Sus scrofa: one gene and its partner. The protein of the gene in region 2 interacts with the protein of the main gene of each other region in a pairwise test. Links are inferred from orthologs where the notes say so. Each region holds a gene or a part of one and is shown on either strand. Other genes may lie near its edges. The genes, in order: EEF1A2 and ABTB1.

What was found.
Region 1: the proteins of ABTB1 (region 2) and EEF1A2 interact in binary tests that used the Homo sapiens proteins (3 or more experiments, as listed by UniProt). The two-hybrid records come from large-scale screens. The link is inferred for Sus scrofa from reciprocal best matches to the Homo sapiens genes ABTB1 and EEF1A2.

The regions. Positions count from the first base shown.
Region 1 is NC_010459.5:62,515,825-62,523,235, forward strand, and holds the end of EEF1A2 (elongation factor 1-alpha 2), read right to left. Parts: intron 7,287-7,411; coding exon 7,107-7,286; intron 6,699-7,106; coding exon 6,402-6,698; intron 5,759-6,401; coding exon 5,608-5,758; intron 4,662-5,607; coding exon 4,405-4,661; intron 3,223-4,404; coding exon 2,988-3,222; intron 2,396-2,987; coding exon 2,268-2,395; 3' UTR 1,987-2,267; downstream 1-1,986. UniProt on the Homo sapiens protein: Translation elongation factor that catalyzes the GTP-dependent binding of aminoacyl-tRNA (aa-tRNA) to the A-site of ribosomes during the elongation phase of protein synthesis.
Region 2 is NC_010455.5:72,573,842-72,582,498, forward strand, and holds the start of ABTB1 (ankyrin repeat and BTB/POZ domain-containing protein 1), read right to left. Parts: upstream 5,635-8,657; 5' UTR 5,304-5,634; coding exon 5,248-5,303; exon of another isoform or gene 4,784-5,247; coding exon of another isoform or gene 4,761-4,783; intron 4,308-4,760; coding exon 4,245-4,307; intron 4,166-4,244; coding exon 4,110-4,165; intron 3,441-4,109; exon of another isoform or gene 3,401-3,440; coding exon of another isoform or gene 3,388-3,400; coding exon 3,246-3,387; intron 3,129-3,245; coding exon 2,969-3,128; intron 2,889-2,968; coding exon 2,843-2,888; intron 2,638-2,842; coding exon 2,542-2,637; intron 2,451-2,541; coding exon 2,332-2,450; intron 2,116-2,331; coding exon 2,020-2,115; intron 1,933-2,019; coding exon 1,765-1,932; intron 1,405-1,764; coding exon of another isoform or gene 1,252-1,404; exon of another isoform or gene 1,014-1,251; intron 1,008-1,013; coding exon 807-1,007; intron 741-806; coding exon 534-740; 3' UTR 1-533. Other genes in the region: PODXL2 (podocalyxin-like protein 2), read right to left, coding at 5,635-5,847, 6,357-6,536, 8,561-8,622. UniProt on the Homo sapiens protein: May act as a mediator of the PTEN growth-suppressive signaling pathway. May play a role in developmental processes.

The DNA of each region.
Region 1 (7,411 bases), on a different chromosome or scaffold from region 2:
CCACCCCAGAAATGCCCACCTGGGGGCAGGCAGTGCCACCCCAAGGGCAGCCCCGGCATTCAGGCCAGGCCGACACCCCCTGCACTCTCCATCTGGACGACAAATTTGCAAGAGCCACTGGGACCAGAGGGTGAGGCTTCCCCCAGGGACCTCTCTGGGGGCCTTCCTTTGACCCCAGTGGAAGGTGGATTTACTCTCACCTGTCTCAGCCTGATAGGTTTCTCCCACCGGACCCCAGTTCCAACTGGGCCAAGTGTGTAAGGACTGGAACCCAGTTCCACCTGGGCCAAGTGTGTAAGGACAGCATCCGGGAGAGTCTGCAGGGTCACACCAGGTCCCTCCCGCCAGCAATGGTGGCCCGCAGAGGCCCAGGAAGCCCAGGGCTCAGGAGAGCTTGGAGGTACCCGGTTTCCTTGGGTGGGGCCTCCAGGTAAAACACACCATCAAGTGTGAGTCTCAGGTAAGCACCAGATCCTTCTGTGTAGGTATCGTATGGGACTTATTTATGCTAAAAAAAAAGTATCCTCTGTTTATCTGAAATCCACATTTGCCTGGGGTTTCTGTGTCTGTATTTGCCTTCTCAAGCCGCCTTCCTTGGAGGCCTCTGAGGGTCAGCCCAGACCCTCCCACACAGCTCTGTGGCCGCCAGCAGCACCCAAGGGAAGGGGTCCCATCTGACTCTGCCCGGCTCATCTAGTCATTCTTCATCTGGTCCTTCCCTGCCTGTGGCTTCAGGGGCCCGTCCCCACTTTGGGACTAGGCGGGGAGAGACCGCAGCCCCTCTGTGGACACCCCTGAGCCGAGCACACCTGTCTCTCCTGGCTGGTCCTTCCTCGGGGCATAATCCACACCCTCCCCCCCAGCCCCAACCCCCCACCAGGGCAGTTGGCTCCATTGGCTCTCAGAGATTTCAGGTGCCAGTTCCTGGATCCTGCAATGTGTGACATATGGCAGGAAAGCGCTGTACGAGGTAATTAAACTAACGATCTTAAGATGAGGAGATGGCCCTGGGCCGTCCTTATAAGTGGGAGGCAGAGGAGACTGGCCCAGAGAAGATGAGCCCATGCGACCGTGGAGGCAGAGGTTGCAGGAATGTGGCCACAAGCCAGGGAACTTGGGCAGCCACCAGAAGCCGCAAGAGGCACAGGACAGACCCTCCCTGGAGCCTCTGGAGGGAGCAGACCCTGCCTGCACTGGAGTCTGTCCCAGTGGTATGGACTGAGACGGTTCGTGTATGTGGTTTTCAGCTGCCAGCTTGCAGTCCATTTGTTGCTGCAGCCCCAGGGGACTCAATCCCAGGGGACCCTGTGGCTGGCCTGCTCCTCTCCCCAGCCCAGACCTGCTGTGGGCAGCTGTGTCCGTCGTCGGAACCAGCTCATCCTCACCCTGACCCCCGCACGCGCACTGCCGCTGCTTTCTGGGCGCAGGCATGGCTGGGCAGGGCGTGGTCCTGCCAGCCCCCCGGTGCTTGCTGACCAAGGTCAGGGCTTGTTCTGGGGTTTCTGGGGCTGCAGTTCCTGCCGTACCAAGGACCGCGCTGAGGAGCCTCCAGCCACAGTGACCGGCTCGGGGGTGGCGGTGGGGGCAGTAAGACTGGGCTTCCAAGAGCCAGGGAGCCGGAAGACCCGGGCGAAGCACAGTGTGTGTGAGAGCCACTCGCGGGGGAGGGGCTCTGGGCTCATCCCCTTCTCAGAGAGACCCCCAAACTTTCAATCCCCTTCTGCAGCTCCGCAGTGACCCAGTCTTTGCCTTGGATCCCCCCACAGGGGGACCCCAAAGTCCCCTCACCCTCTGGACTCCAGACCCAGCGGCCCACAGCCCACCCTGGGTAATGCAGGTGGACACCTGGCCAGATCGGCCGCAGGGCCAGTGGGTGCCGAGTGGGCCGCTGGGCTAGCAGCTTGGTGGGGGGCCGGGTGGGGGGTACGAAGGCGCGCCCTCCCGCACGGCGGGCCGCCCACCCCCCAGCAGCAGGCGCACACACGGTTCCGGGGTCGCTCAGTTTATTGGTAAAACGGACACTGAGCGTGGCGAAGGCTGGACGCGGAAGCCGGGGCGGCGGGGGCGCTTTTCCTCTTAAAGAACTTCCACTGGACCTTGATGGCCAGCATCCAGTCGCTGACGGAGAGCCTCTTACAAGCGGAGGTACAGACATGCGCCTGGCGGGGGGGCGGGGCGCCGGGGCCGCGCCGGGGGCGGGGCCGGGGGCGGGGCCGAGGGCGGGGCGCGGCGCCGCCGGGGAGGGTCGCGCCGCGGGCGCCCGCGCTTCACTTGCCCGCCTTCTGCGCCTTCTGCGCCGACTTGGTGACCTTGCCGGCGCCGCCGCTCTTCTTCTCCACGTTCTTGATGACGCCCACGGCCACCGTCTGCCTCATGTCGCGCACGGCGAAGCGGCCTGCGGGTAGGAGGCGTGAAGAGCCGGCCCGGATGCCACGCGCAGGCGCACTCGCGCCCGCAGCATCCTCCCCAACCCAGGCCCTGGGGCTGCGACCCTCGCGGTGGGGACGGGGTTCCCTGCGCCTGTTTCCGGGGACAGGGTGGAGTACGGGCTCCCATCTACTTAGATGCACATAGGACTCCGTCAAGGCACAGTTGCCAGAAGTAAATGGCCTGTGAACCATGCCGAGAACACGCTCGGCTGTTTTGACGGTGGCCCCACCCTGGCATTAGGCAGCTCTCCAATACAGGTCTGTGGGTCATCCTAGGGTATCTGTGAGGGAGGCCAGTTGGAGGCAGGAGGTCAGTCTGACTCTGCCTCGAGACTAGCTGTGGGCCTTGGACCACTCCCTTAGGGGACTTCCTTTGCAGAGGGGACACCATTTCAGGCCCACCTAGTGGGGCCACGTGTGCTCCGGGAGACAAAGGCCAAGGCCGGGAGTCTCCTACTGAGTTCTCAGTGCTGCAGCAAAGTTCAGGATCCACCCCCCCCCCCCACCCAGGGGTCTCCTGCCCTTGGCCTGGGCCCGCCACCTCCCCTCCCGGCTCACCGAGGGGCGGGTACTGGGAGAAGCTCTCCACACACATGGGCTTCCCAGGGACCATCTCTACAATGGCCGCGTCGCCAGACTTCAGGGACTTGGGGTTGTCCTCCAGCTTCTTGCCAGAGCGCCGGTCAATCTTCTCCTTGAGCTCGGCAAACTTGCAGGCGATGTGGGCCGTGTGGCAGTCAATGACCGGTGAGTAGCCGGCGCTGATCTGCCCCGGGTGGTTCAGAATGATGACCTGCGGGCAGAGTGGCAGAGGCCATCAGCCCTGCCCCGGGTGGGCACCAGAGGAGGGCACCAGGCTGGAAGAGGCCCTGCCCACCCCAGGGGCCCTGGGTGCTGACCCTGGAGAACGGTCAGGCTCCAGGGGGCCCAGGCCCCCAGACCTACAGAGCCCGAGGCTGGTTGTCTTCAAGGGTCTGAAAAGCCACAGAAGATAAACACCGAGAGCATCATTTGAAAGGGCCAGAGGCCAGAGCCGAAGGAGCAGGGAGACAAACCCGGGCCCGACTGTCGTATTTCAACCATACCTCAGTAAAGCCAATTTTAAACACTGTAGTGGAGTTCCCGCTGTGGCTCAATGAGTTAAGAACCCAACTAGTATCCACGAGGATGCGGGTTTGATCCCTGGCCCTGCTCAGTGGGTTAAGGATCTGGCATTGCCATGAGCTGTGGTGTAGGTCACAGACAAGGCTCGGGTCCCGTGGGGCTGTGGCTGTGGGGCAGGCCGGCAGCTGCAGCTCTGAGTCGACCTCTAGCCTGGGGATCTCCATATGCCACGGGTGAAGCCCTAGAAGGAGAGAAAGAAAAACAGACAAACTTTGTAGTCACGTTAAAGAGATGACCAGGAGTTCCCGTCGTGGCGCAGTGGTTAACCAATCCGACTAGGAACCATGAGGTTGCGGGTTCGGTCCCTGCCCTTGCTCAGTGGGTTAGCGATCCGGCGTTGCCGTGAGCTGTGGTGTAGGTTGCAGATGCAGCTGGGATCCCGCGTTGCTGTGGCTCTGGCGTAGGCCGGTGGCTACAGCTCCGATTCGACCCCTAGCCTGGGAACCTCCATATGCTGCGGGAGCGGCCCAAAGAAATAGCAAAAAGACAAAAAATAATAATAATAATAAATAAATATAAATAAATAAATAAAGAGATGACCAAAGAAGGCGCAGTGAAAACAGAGGAGAGCCTTGCAGATGGGCCCCAGGCGATAAGCTGATTACAGCATTTCCAGGACCGAAGTGGGACCCCCTGAGGCTGGGCAGCCTGGTCACCCTGTCGGCTCTTCCTGAGGTTCCACCTCCGCCCGGCCTCGACGGCCCGTCTCTAACGTGGGGATCCGAGTCCTTCCTGGCACCAGGCAGCCGCCTCGCCGAGGACAGCCCTGCGCTGCCTGGGAAGACGGCCCTCTGGCCCCCGGGCCGCGCACCTGGGAAGTGAACTGGGCGGCCTCCTGGGGCGGGTCGGACTTGCTGTCCCCACACACGTTGCCCCGACGGATGTCCTTGACTGACACGTTCTTCACGTTGAAGCCGACGTTGTCCCCGGGCAGGGCCTCGCTCAGAGCCTCGTGGTGCATCTCCACCGACTTCACCTCAGTGGTGATGTTCACGGGCGCGAAGGTCACCACCATGCCCGGCCGGAGGATGCCCGTCTCCACTCGGCCCACAGGCACAGTGCCAATGCCTGCGTCGAGAGGAAGGAGGCTGAGAAGGCAGGCCTGGCGGGGGGTGCCCTTCGCCCTGGCAGGGGAGGGGTGGCCACATGGAGGAGGTGAGGGGACAGGGAGACGCCGAGACATTCGGCCAGAAGTGGGAGCTTCCCGGCCCCTCCGGGAGAAGGGACTCGGGAAGAGAGTGCCCATAACACGGGGCAAACGGGCAAGGAGAGGGCCGTCTGAAAGAGGGGTCCCGCCCCTGCCCCAGGGACCGCCTCCCCTCTCCGGGGCCTCTCCTTCCGAGGCAGCAGCATGAACCGGTCCCCCTGGATTGACCCGGCCCAGTACTGGTGCTGCCGTCTCGGGGGCTATTCCTGAAGAGGTACGGTGCCCCCTAGGGCGGCGGCAGGGGGCTCCTCCTGGTCTCCCTGGCGGTGACAGCGGCTCGTGTGGCATTACCGAGCCTGGTGGCGTTCTCTGTGCCGGGTGGGCGTGGACCCCCAGTCTGCACACAGGCCTGACATCTCCAGCCGCAGCCTGCTGGCCGCGAGCCCCCACCGCTGCCCTCCTGGGCCTCATACTTGCTCAAGGTTCTGTACCATCTCATGAATGGCTGTTCTCCTTCTGGAGTGGATCATGTCTCCCACAGGCCCCAGACCTCCAGGGGGAGGGCAACGAGGGCAACGTGTGGCTCCCTTGTGCCACCCGCTGCTGGCATAGGGCTGGGCACTGAGCTGGAGGAAGGAGGACCCTTGCGGGACAGCCCGATGGGCAGGTGGGAGTGGACAGAGGGACAGACAGACAGATGAATGGATGAAGACAGGTGGGTGGGTGGTCCCCTGGAAAGAGTGCAGCCTCGGGGGAGAGGCAGAAATAACCCTGCCCCAGGCTCCTCGCCAGAGCCGGTTCTCAGGAGGGGTCTGAGGGCAGAGCCGGCGGCTGGGCTGGGAGGGCAGCTGAAGAGGCTTCACTCACCGCCAATCTTGTACACGTCCTGCAGCGGCAGGCGCAGGGGCTTGTCTGTGGGGCGTGTGGGGGGCAGGATGGTGTCCAGAGCCTCCAGCAGGGACACGCCACTGGCATTCCCTTCCTTCCGCTCCACTTTCCAGCCCTTGAACCAGGGCATCTGGGCGGGAGGAAGAAGGCACCTGTTGTAGCGCCCCTCCCCCACCCCCCAGCCTTGGCCTCCCTGACCCCCGTCGGTGGCCCTGTCCCACGTGAGACCCAGCCCGACCAGGAACCCCGACCACGGGGCTCCAGGTTAAGTCTCCCTGGGTCTCCTTGGCCCCCTCCACGCCCGCCTCCCCCAGCCTGGCCAGAACGGCTGTCCTATGGCGCCCTTGCCAGGCGCTGGGTCTCAGGCTCCCCTCATCACCTCCTGCCCAGTCCGAGTCCTCAGGACACCCGCAGCCAGAGCCACAGCTCCCCAGCTGACCAGCAGAGAGCCAGCCTCTGGCCCCTGATCCTGGGGAAGGTGAGAACCAGCCCCACCACACGGGGCGTCCAGAGATGGGGGGCGGGCGGCAGCGGCGGCTGCCTTCTGACGTCCGCCCCGGGGAGCGGCCCTGGCCAGAGGAGGGGATGCAGAGGCTTCTGAACGGAAGGGGGCTGGGGGTCCCACCGGGCTCTGACACCCACCGGGGCTGGCACCGCACGTGTCCACACCACGGGACCTTGGGAGGGCTGGGGGGGGGAGACCCGTCTGTGCCCGCCGGACCCAGGGCCCTCTGGGAGGGGCCCGAGGAGCCCCGCCCCTGCTGGGCACTCACGTTGGGGGAGGGCTCCAGCATGTTGTCGCCGTGCCAGCCCGAGATGGGCACGAAGGGCACGGTGGCCGGGTTGTAGCCGATCTTCTTGATGTAGGCGCTGACCTCCTTGACGATCTCGTCGTAGCGCTTCTCGCTGTAGGCCGGCTCCGTGGAGTCCATCTTGTTGACGCCGACGATCAGCTGCTTCACGCCCAGCGTGTAGGCCAGCAGCGCGTGCTCGCGGGTCTGCCCGTTCTTAGAGATGCCCGCCTCGAACTCGCCCACTCCCGCCGCCACGATCAGCACTGCGCAGTCCGCCTGCCCCGCAGGCCGTCAGGGTGAGCCGCAGACCCCGCCCAGGCCCCTCTGGGGAGTCTGGCACCTGGGGTCTCCCCCTGAGGGCCCGCGTCTGTCTGTCTGTCTGTCTGTCTGGGTGATGCCCTGGCCACGCTGGATTGTCTGGGGGCATTTCTGCCCCCATTCCAGGGCCCCCGTCCTGGCCTCTGTGTCTGACCTTGAAGGGGGCCTGGCTGGCGGGCTGTCCTTACAGGCGCCCTCGCCCGGCTGAGACGTGGTCAGTTCTTTGAGGGCGAGGGGCGACAAAGGTGAGGGGTCCCCTGGCCTCGCCAGGAAGCACAGGAGACCCAGCTGCGGCTCGCTCGCGGGCTCCGCCCCCCCCCCCATGGGCGCCCTCGCCCCGCCCCCAGGCCCCGAGGCCCCGCCCACCTGGGAGGTGCCGGTGATCATGTTCTTGATGAAGTCGCGGTGGCCCGGCGCGTCGATGATGGTGATGTAGTACTTGGTGGTCTCGAACTTCCAGAGGGAGATGTCGATGGTGATGCCGCGCTCGCGCTCCGCCTTCAGCTTGTCCAGCACCCAGGCGTACTTGAAGGAGCCCTTCCCCATCTGGAGGGGTGGGGGCGCGGCTCAGGACGGACCCAACGCAGCTGGCCTGGCCAGCAGGTCCCCCCGGGCTGCGGGAGCGGCGAGTCGCAGCAGAGAGGCCCCTCGCTCCTGCCGCGGCCCTAGGA
Region 2 (8,657 bases):
GGGACAGAACTGCTTGGAGTGGGTGCTAGAAGCACTCAGAGTCTGTTCTTAATTCTGGCCCCACTAAACCACCCAGAGCCACCAAGGGTGAGCAGGTGGGACACTCTAAGAGGAAACTCAGGGGGAAGCCCTGTCCCACCAGAAGGGCTGCAGGGCCCTCTCCCCACCAGCCCCAGGTGGTCCTGCTGGGAGTTCCCCAGGGCTCCCTGCCAGGGACACAGGCCCCCACAGTGAATTCAAGCTTTATTGCTGCAGGCTCTCCCACCTCCACCAGGCTGTTCTGTGCAGAGAAGCCAGCTCTGCCCAGGGAGACAGGCCTGGTGGGGGGAGATGACAGGGGAGGCCCTAAGAGACCTCCCCCACCTCAGTTTTCCCTGAGTGGTGCCCAGCCCCAGGGCCTCTAGGACTGGCTTGTGCTGGGGAAGGGGCCTCATCCCAAGGTGACCCTCCCAGGGGCCCCCAGGCACAAGGAGTGTGCGCTGGCGGGGGAGGGGGTGGACACCCTGAGCACACAACAGCCACATGTGCATTGGTCAGCACTCCAGGCCAATGGACACTAGCAGGTCCTCCAGCACCCGAAGCCGCTGCTGCGCCTGCTGCATGGCGCTGCAGGTCTGCACCGTGCTGCCCACGTGGAAGCGGATATCATCCACCAGTGGGATGGAATCTGTCTCCTGCCGGGCTGCCACAGCCGCTGCCTCCTCCCTCACAGCCTCCACGAAGTCGTCCTGCTCCACCAGCTGTGGACAGGCCAGTTTAGGGCATTCCTGATGCCAGCCCCCTCCCCACCCTGGGCCCACACCCACCTTCTCGATGACCTTGGCCATGTACTCAGTGCACTGGTCCTCCAGCCGTGCCAGGCGGAATAGCTTGGCCACACGCCACACACCCACCACACTGTCCTCATCCAGCAGCTGCGCCAGGCTGCGGCCACACAACTGCTTCAGGCCTGGCAACAGGTACATGTCAGCCATGCTCAGCACATCATAGGCCACCTCAGGTGGCAGCTGCAAGGGAAGAAGGGGGTGCAGAAAGACACCTGGAGACTGTTGGCGAGCTGGGGGCTCATGTCACAGGCCAGCTGGGCCTCAAGCCCCGAGGCCAGAGCCCACATTTCGCACCTGCCTTTTCGAGGCACAGCTTCCAGCTGCCTGAAGACCAGGACCAGAGGAAACCGCCTACCAGTATCCCCCTCCTCCTGAGGCAACTATGATGGGGACCCCATGGCTGGCAGCATCCACCACAAGCCCTTCAGGGAGTCAGTGTGCTGACCTTGCCCCAGGGCACACCAGGGCGACAAGATGGAGGGGATGATTCGGGGCCCTGTAAGCCACCTGCCCTGGGCACTAACCTCAGAGAGAAACCAGGAACAACAAACTCTTCCTCAGTTATTGTGTTTTGGGGCTTTTAAAAAAAAAAAAAAACAAAAACTAGCCTGTGTGGCAGTGATGCTCACCCTCTGCTTCCTGCTGCCCTGTCTGTGGGGACGGCCTTAGGGCAGCTGAAGCAACCCCAACACCCTTGTGGGACTTTGAGGTGACTGTCCCCACCCCGCCTCTAGCTGGAGAACTTGGGCATCCCAGGTCGCTGATGCTGTCATTCCTGCTCTGGAACCTATCAAGGCCCCTCTACCTATAGAAAAGTCCCCATGGGGCCACGCTCCCTTCCCCAGCACCACGGAGAACTGGCCCTAGAGCTGGGCGCTCCCCTTTGGAGCCCCGCGGCCTGCGACACCTCCCCTCCGCCCCCATCCGGTATACACACCTCCGTGTGGTCACTGTAGACATAGTACAGCACGTGGGTGAACACATCAGGTGAGATGCCGTGCAGGGTGATGGCCAGGAGGCTGCCCTGGGCCTCCAGCTGCTCATTCTCCTGGAAGTGGTCATCCAGCAGGGCCCGGAAGTAGTCACTGCGGCCGCAGAAGAAGGCCTAGGGGAAGCTGGGCTCAGGATGGGCGGGGACCTGGGCCCAGAGCTTAAGGCAGGGGTGGGAGTCCAGGGGGAGAAAGCTTGGCACCTTGTGACAGAGGAAGTTATAACCCTCCACTCGGAAGCAGACGTCAGGACAGCCATTGAAGCCATCGCAAGGGAAGGGCAGCTCCCAGAGATCACCCTGGGGGGCAGAGAGGAGGTGCCATCAGAGCAGGCGGGAGAAGGGACAGCAGCCGGCCCCAGCCAAGGGCCTGCTCTTGCTCACACCTGAAGGTGACCGCCGCCCCACCTGCAGATCCAGACACAGCACAGAACACAAGCCAGCAGTGTGGCTAGAAAAAAGGGAAGTGCCAGGCTTAGGTTTAAACCGCCGCCCCTTCCTAGGCAAGGTGCTCACCCGGAGCTCAGTGGGCAGGGCACAGTCCGCCAGCAGGGCCAGGTCCTCCCGCAGCCGTAAGTCTGCCTGCGGGGGCTCGATGGTCAGCACCTTCACGCACGTGCCTGGCTTGGAGGCCACTGCGGAGGGCAGAGCACAGCTTCAGGGCGCGGGGCAGCCCTGCCAATTCCTGCCCGCGGCCCTGGGCCTGAGGCTGGACACACAACTCACACTTGGCCTCCAGGTCACCTAGCAGGTCCCACAGCTGGCACTGCTTGGCCAGGCGCTCACAGTCGCTGACATGCTCCACACTGACATCCAGGCAGCCTGGGTGTGGGTGCAGCACGGGAGGGAGGCTCAGGGTCTGAACGGGACCCTGCTGCCTGGACAGAATTCCAGGAGGCAGTCCCTCTGCCCAGCCTGGCCCCAGGTGGGAAAAGCCAACCCAGGAGGTTGCTGAGGCTGCCCTGCACTGCAGGGGACAAGCACCTGGGTGTGCTGTGGCCCCTCCCTACCCAGACCCGGGGTTCACCTGTGTACAGGTACTGCAGCAGGGCGCCGAAGGCCACAGGGTTGATCTGTGGGCAGAGACTGCGGTCAGAGGCAGTCACTCAGCACAAGCCCCCTGCTGACCCCCGACCCCAAACCATGGACCCACCAGGGGGTGCCGAAGGACCACAACACTCTTGCCCTTCCACTTGGTGTCCAGCATGTTGGCGAAGTAGGCACTGCGAGCACCCAGGATGCAGCGGTGAGCCCGGAAAGACCTCCCATGCACCATGAAGACCACGTCACTGTGGATGCCCTGCTCCAGAAGCCTGGGGAGCAGTCCAGGGGTGCTCAGCAGTATGCCCCGCCCTCCTGCCCCCCAGCAGGGTGCCGCGGTCCATAGGCCACACCCACTGCAGACCCACCAGGCAGGGCTGTCTCCTCACCGGAGCAGGAAGCTGTAGTAGTGATCCCGCCTCCTGCAGGACGTCACCTGCTTGTACTCACGCAAGGCCCGGCGAATGGCATCACTCTGCGCTCCATAGAGGCAGCGCTCACCATCAAAGGTGTTGGCCTCACAGCGGGCTCCTGGGAAAAGCATGGCTCTCCCATCAGCAGGGCCATGGGGCTGCCCCCTGCAGCTGGAGAGGGGCCAGGGGAAAGTCTCACCCAACACACACACACACACCAGCCAGGGCCCAAGCACGCCCAGACCACATGAGACAGAGAGCTCGGTGGCCAGCCCTGTTCTCTACAGACAGACTGTAAACTGATGGGCCCCTAGCTGAGGGGGTACTGAGGCTCCAGGACAGCGAAAACAGGTTAGCAATTGATGCCAGCTGCTCTGAAGAAAAACTAAGTAAGACGAAGAGTGACAGTGGTGGCAGGTGCCACAGATGGACTGTGACAGTGACAGGTGCAGAGGCCTAAACTAAACGAGAGCCACATGAGAACAAGGGAAAGGGCAGTCTGAGCAGGAGGAATGGCAACGGAAGAGGCCCTGAGGAACCAGGCCAGGCGGGAGGGGGAGTGTGGGTCTTGGGGAAGCTCCCAGCCTGACAGGGCATCCAGCTCCATGGCAGACGGGAAAGCCTGCACAAAGGGCAACAAACCATTGGTCAGGTGAAGGGGCAGCCTTGAGGCCAGAGGTGACATCAACTGCAGGGAGATGCTGAGCTGCTGGAAGCAGCACGCAGAACTAGTTCCCAAAGCAGAGCTAAAAGCACTTGCTGATGGGATGCAGGTGAAGGGGAGAGATCCAGAGCCACTGTGAACACCCGCATGCAGCCCCCCGCCCCCAACCCACTTACCATTGGCCAGCAGGTAGAGCACAAGTTCCTCATGGCCACAGAGGCAGGCATAGTACCTGAGGGGAAGGGACCCAGTGCTGTCAGGCCTGCAGCGCCACCAACCCTGACCACCCCTGCTCCCCCCACGGCACTCACAGCGGGGTGCTGTCCCACTTGTCCCGCACGTTCACCTCCACGTCACGCTGCTCTAGCAGATACCTGGGCAGGGAAGTCAGAGCTGAGTCAGGCCAGGTTCCTGGTCTGGAGAGCAAACCTTCAGGAGGGGAAGGAAGGAAGCCTCCCCAGGTGAGGGCGGGTGAGGGCTGAGCAGAACAGGAAAGGCACTTGAGACAAGGAGACCACGGAGTGGCAATGGGAAACCCAGCATCAGAGGCCCCAGAACTGAAGGGGCCTCTGGGCAGAAAGCCTTTGGGAAGGAGGAGAGGAAGGGGCCTCTGCCTCTGTGGGAGCCCTCTGGCTGCTTGGGGTGGCAAGGCCGAGCACGAGCTGCTGCAGGCATACTGGTGATGTGGAAATGACAAAAAGGTAGGTTCTAGAAGGTGGATGTCAGGAGACAGGGCAGCAGGTGGGGTGGGGAAGTGGGAATCAACAAGGGTGGTGATGGAGCCACCACAGAGGAGGAAGTGCCTTGGGGGAGACACCTGGGCCGACCTCAAGAGCGCTCCCAGCAGCATCACAAGTGGCACCTGCAGCGGGGGAGCTGTGCGGGTCAGGAATTGGCGAAGGTGGGCAGGTGCCTCCCATCCCAATCAGGCAGCCCACGGAGATGGCGACTGCAGCGCCCAGTCAGCTCTAGCCGCACTTGGGGAGTTTCCGAATCTCCGAGGACTAGAGACCCCAGCTCCGGGTCCACAGCGCATCAGAAACGAATCGCGGAGTCCCAGGCCGGCCCCCAGGGTCTGGCGCCCGGGCCCTTCTCTTCTCTCCGCGCTCTCCTCTCCCCCTCCGGGCGTTCTCGTCGCAGTACCTTCCTCCGGGACCCCCTGGAGGAGTCACGCCAGAGCTCCCCGATCCCCGGCTCCACCCCAGAGCACTGTGGCAACCTAGGCAGCCCTGCTTCGGCGTCTGGGCGCCCACGGGGGAAGGGTCTGCGGCGGGGTCACCCACCCGGCACCCTCCCGGGGCCAAGGGTCCTCACCGCACTCGGCCCACGTCCCCCTTCCTGCAGCTGGAGAACAGGTCGCACGTATCCATGGCGCGGACGGCCCGGACCCCCGCCAGGCGACCTCAGAGCCCCGGCCGGATATAAACACGCCCCGCCCCGCCCGGGCGCTCGGCAGCGGCGCCTGGCGCTCGGAGGACCGACTCGGGCGCGCTGCCCCGCCCCCACCCCAGCCCAGAGTAAGAACGAGTCGCTTAGGCGGACCACGGGCCGGCGTGCTCTCCCGGCGGCTTTAATAGGGTCCCGGGCGCCCCGCGGGGCGTCGGGTCGGGGGGGTGGGGGGTGCCGAGATGCGTCGAGAGTCACTGGAGGGGGAGGCAGAGGACCCCACGCCGAGGCCCGGGCCGGGCGGGGCTCAGCCCCTCACAGGTGCGTGTCCTCCTCAAACACGTCTGAGTCCTCGGGGTCACGCTTGCCCCCCATGAGCGCGCTCCATCCCCCCGGGCCGTTGACCGCGCCGCCGCCATTCAGGCTGGGCTGCTTCTCCTGCATCTCCGACTGGCTGTCGCTGGCCACGTCCAGCGTGGGGTTGTCGTGGCAGCCGTTCTCCACGAAGCGCAGCTCCTCGCCGTGCGACTGCGGCGGGAGGGGCGGCTGGGCGGGCGCGCCGGCCCCGCCGCCCCACATCCCTCCAGACCCTCCCTAGACAGGGGACCCCTGTCGGACCCTCGACGGACAGCGGACAGACAGCCCCTTCTGGTCCTGTAGCTCAACTCCTTTCTTAAAATGACCATTGACCCTTTACACTTATCAGCCTTGTGGCCTCCCTGACACCGTCTATCCCTCCACCACCCCAGAGACTCCTAGAAAATAAGGGAGGTGTGCACTGCCTGCACCCCACTCCCACCCCCAACCGGGGCGTCTGCAAGGCCGCCCTGCCCAGGAGGAACTGGGCCCACAACCCACACCTCCAGCATCTGACAACCAGGAGCTGGGCCCTGGACAAGGACTTCAACTCACAGTACCCACCCCCTAGTAACTGCCACCTCACTCACAAATAAGGACCCCAAGTTTCAGGTGCCCGGCTAGCTGGACCCCCTATACCACCCGGACCAGGCCCCCTGCCCACCCACCCTCACGCTCACCACGTGTTTCAGCTTGGGCAGCCGGCGCTGCCAGCAGTTATAGAGCAAGCCCAGCACGATGATGACCACACAGATGGCACCGATGACCACCAGCACCACAAAGAGCGTCCCGTAGTCACTGCGCACCTGGCTGGCCCGGGCCTGGCAGCTGCTTGTAGTGGAGTAGTTCTGGATGCCAATCTGGGGACAGGAGGGCCGGCTTCTGAGCTGAGGTCCTGGGGTACTAGGTCTCCCCAGATTGGAGCTCAGGGTGGGCAACATGCCTGGCCTGTGCTCACCAAGGACTCTGCCCACCTCCCTTCTCAGCCTTCCCTCACATACTGGCCTCAGCTCTGCCCACCCCAACTCTGCTTGTGCGGAGATCTGGCCCTAAATGGACTTGCAGGTAGCCTTAACCCCCACCCCCACCCCCACCGCCCCAGGTCTGGCCCCATGCTGGCACAGTCCCAACCATCCCCCCACTTTGAAAAAAGACAAAGGCACCTGTGAGCCCCTCTCTTCACTTTTTCCACCACATACCCACCCATTCAGGCTCCTGAAACACTGCTTCCCCTGTGGGGGCAGGGGTGTTCTGCTATCATTCTGGCCATGTGAGCCAGAGAGTGTACAGGAGGCTGGGATGATCCACATCCCAGGCCATCCCCAGCCTCTTGGCTTCCTCCTCTGCTCACTGGAGTGGTCCCAATGTGACCAGCACCCTCCCACACAGCAGGCAGTCCTGGGCAGGCTGGCCTTCTCTGTCCAAGAGGCTGCTTTGTCCCAACTGGGCATCCCAGGTGGAGGGGAGCAGGAAATGTGAAGTGCCACCATCAGATGCCAGATGCCAGGGGGAGGGTGCTGTCTTCTGGCTCTGGGTGCAGAGACCTGGGAGGCCCCCTTTCTGCCACAGGCCCCCTTTCTAAGGCCAGGTACTAGCCCTTCTTCCTGTGAACCACCTATGTATTTCTAGTACTCTTCCCTACTCTTAATTTATCAAGGTCAGTGCACATGCTAAATCTGCCACATACACTTCCAGACCCAGCATGCCTTTGGGCCAAGTCAGGCTCAATGAAGTGTTCAGTAAAGCCAGAATACTGAAGAGGGGAAGAGGCAGGAGGGTCTGTAGAAGGTTGAGCTCAAGTTTCCACCAGCACCTCCTCCCCCGCCCCCAGTTCATGAACCTCAAATCTGCCAACTTGGAACAGCTCTTGGTGGCCATCCAGGTGGTGCAGATACAGCCTCATGGTGAAAGGCCCAGGCTCTTGAGTCATTTAGGTCTAGTCCAAAGCCTGACTCTACTGCTCACTAGCTGTGCCATCTGGGGCGAGTCACCTCCCTGCTCTGGGCTTCAGCTCTCGTCTTAAATGGGGTATCAACAGTCCTCAACAGGGGCCTCGCTCATTGCCCACAATCCCTGGGTGATGGTGAAGGTGGGATGGGAGAACTGAATGAAATCTGGCTCTCAGCACCCAGTCTGTTTATCAAAACCCCAAACAGCCTCAGAGGCCATCCTTCTGCCCTGCACAGGCTAGATAAGGAGGCAGGACGCATGGGTCACTGGATAAGGAGGCAGGGCCCACAGTCACGCATGCCTCAACTCTGCCATCACACACTACAGGGCCCTGTTGACAGGCCCCTGGATTCCACAGTGAAAGGCAGGAGTCTGGGGGACACCAGGCTGTCCCCAAGGGAGGGGAGGAACTGAGGGTCTCCCCTTCAGGGAAGAGGCATCTGGAGCAGAGGCTGGCCAGCCTGTCTCCTCGGTCCAGGTCTCAGGGCCAGCCAGGCAGCCGGAACCAGTGTTCCCCCACCCCAGCTGACAGAGCACCAGCCAATCCCCAGCAGGGAGTGCCTGGTGATGATTTCTTTTGTGGTTTTGGAAACCATGTCACATCATTCCCACCTAGCCAACTTCTGCACAGCTCCTGGCCCAGACTTGTGCTTCTCCACTGTTGACCCAGAGAACTCCGCTTACCTTCCGACACACCCCACCAAGGTCCACTCCCCTGTGTCCTCCCGACCACTGCCCTCTGCAGCTTGGGTCTGCACCTGGCACCACATCACCTGTACCACGACTGGTAGCGCTGTGCTCCTTAGAGGGCTGGGTCTCAGTGACTGCAGCCAAGCCACTCAGGGCCCCTTCACGCCACAGCCTGCAACGCCCTCAGGGAAGGCAGCCCCGCCCCAGAGCTTCAGGGGTACAGGAGCATGGCCTGCACCCTTACCTCCACCAGGCTCCTGCGGATGCCACCCAGCATGGACAGGACGTCTTGAGTGGGCACCACCCCTGGGGAGACACCACCGTCAGCAGAGCGCGGCCGC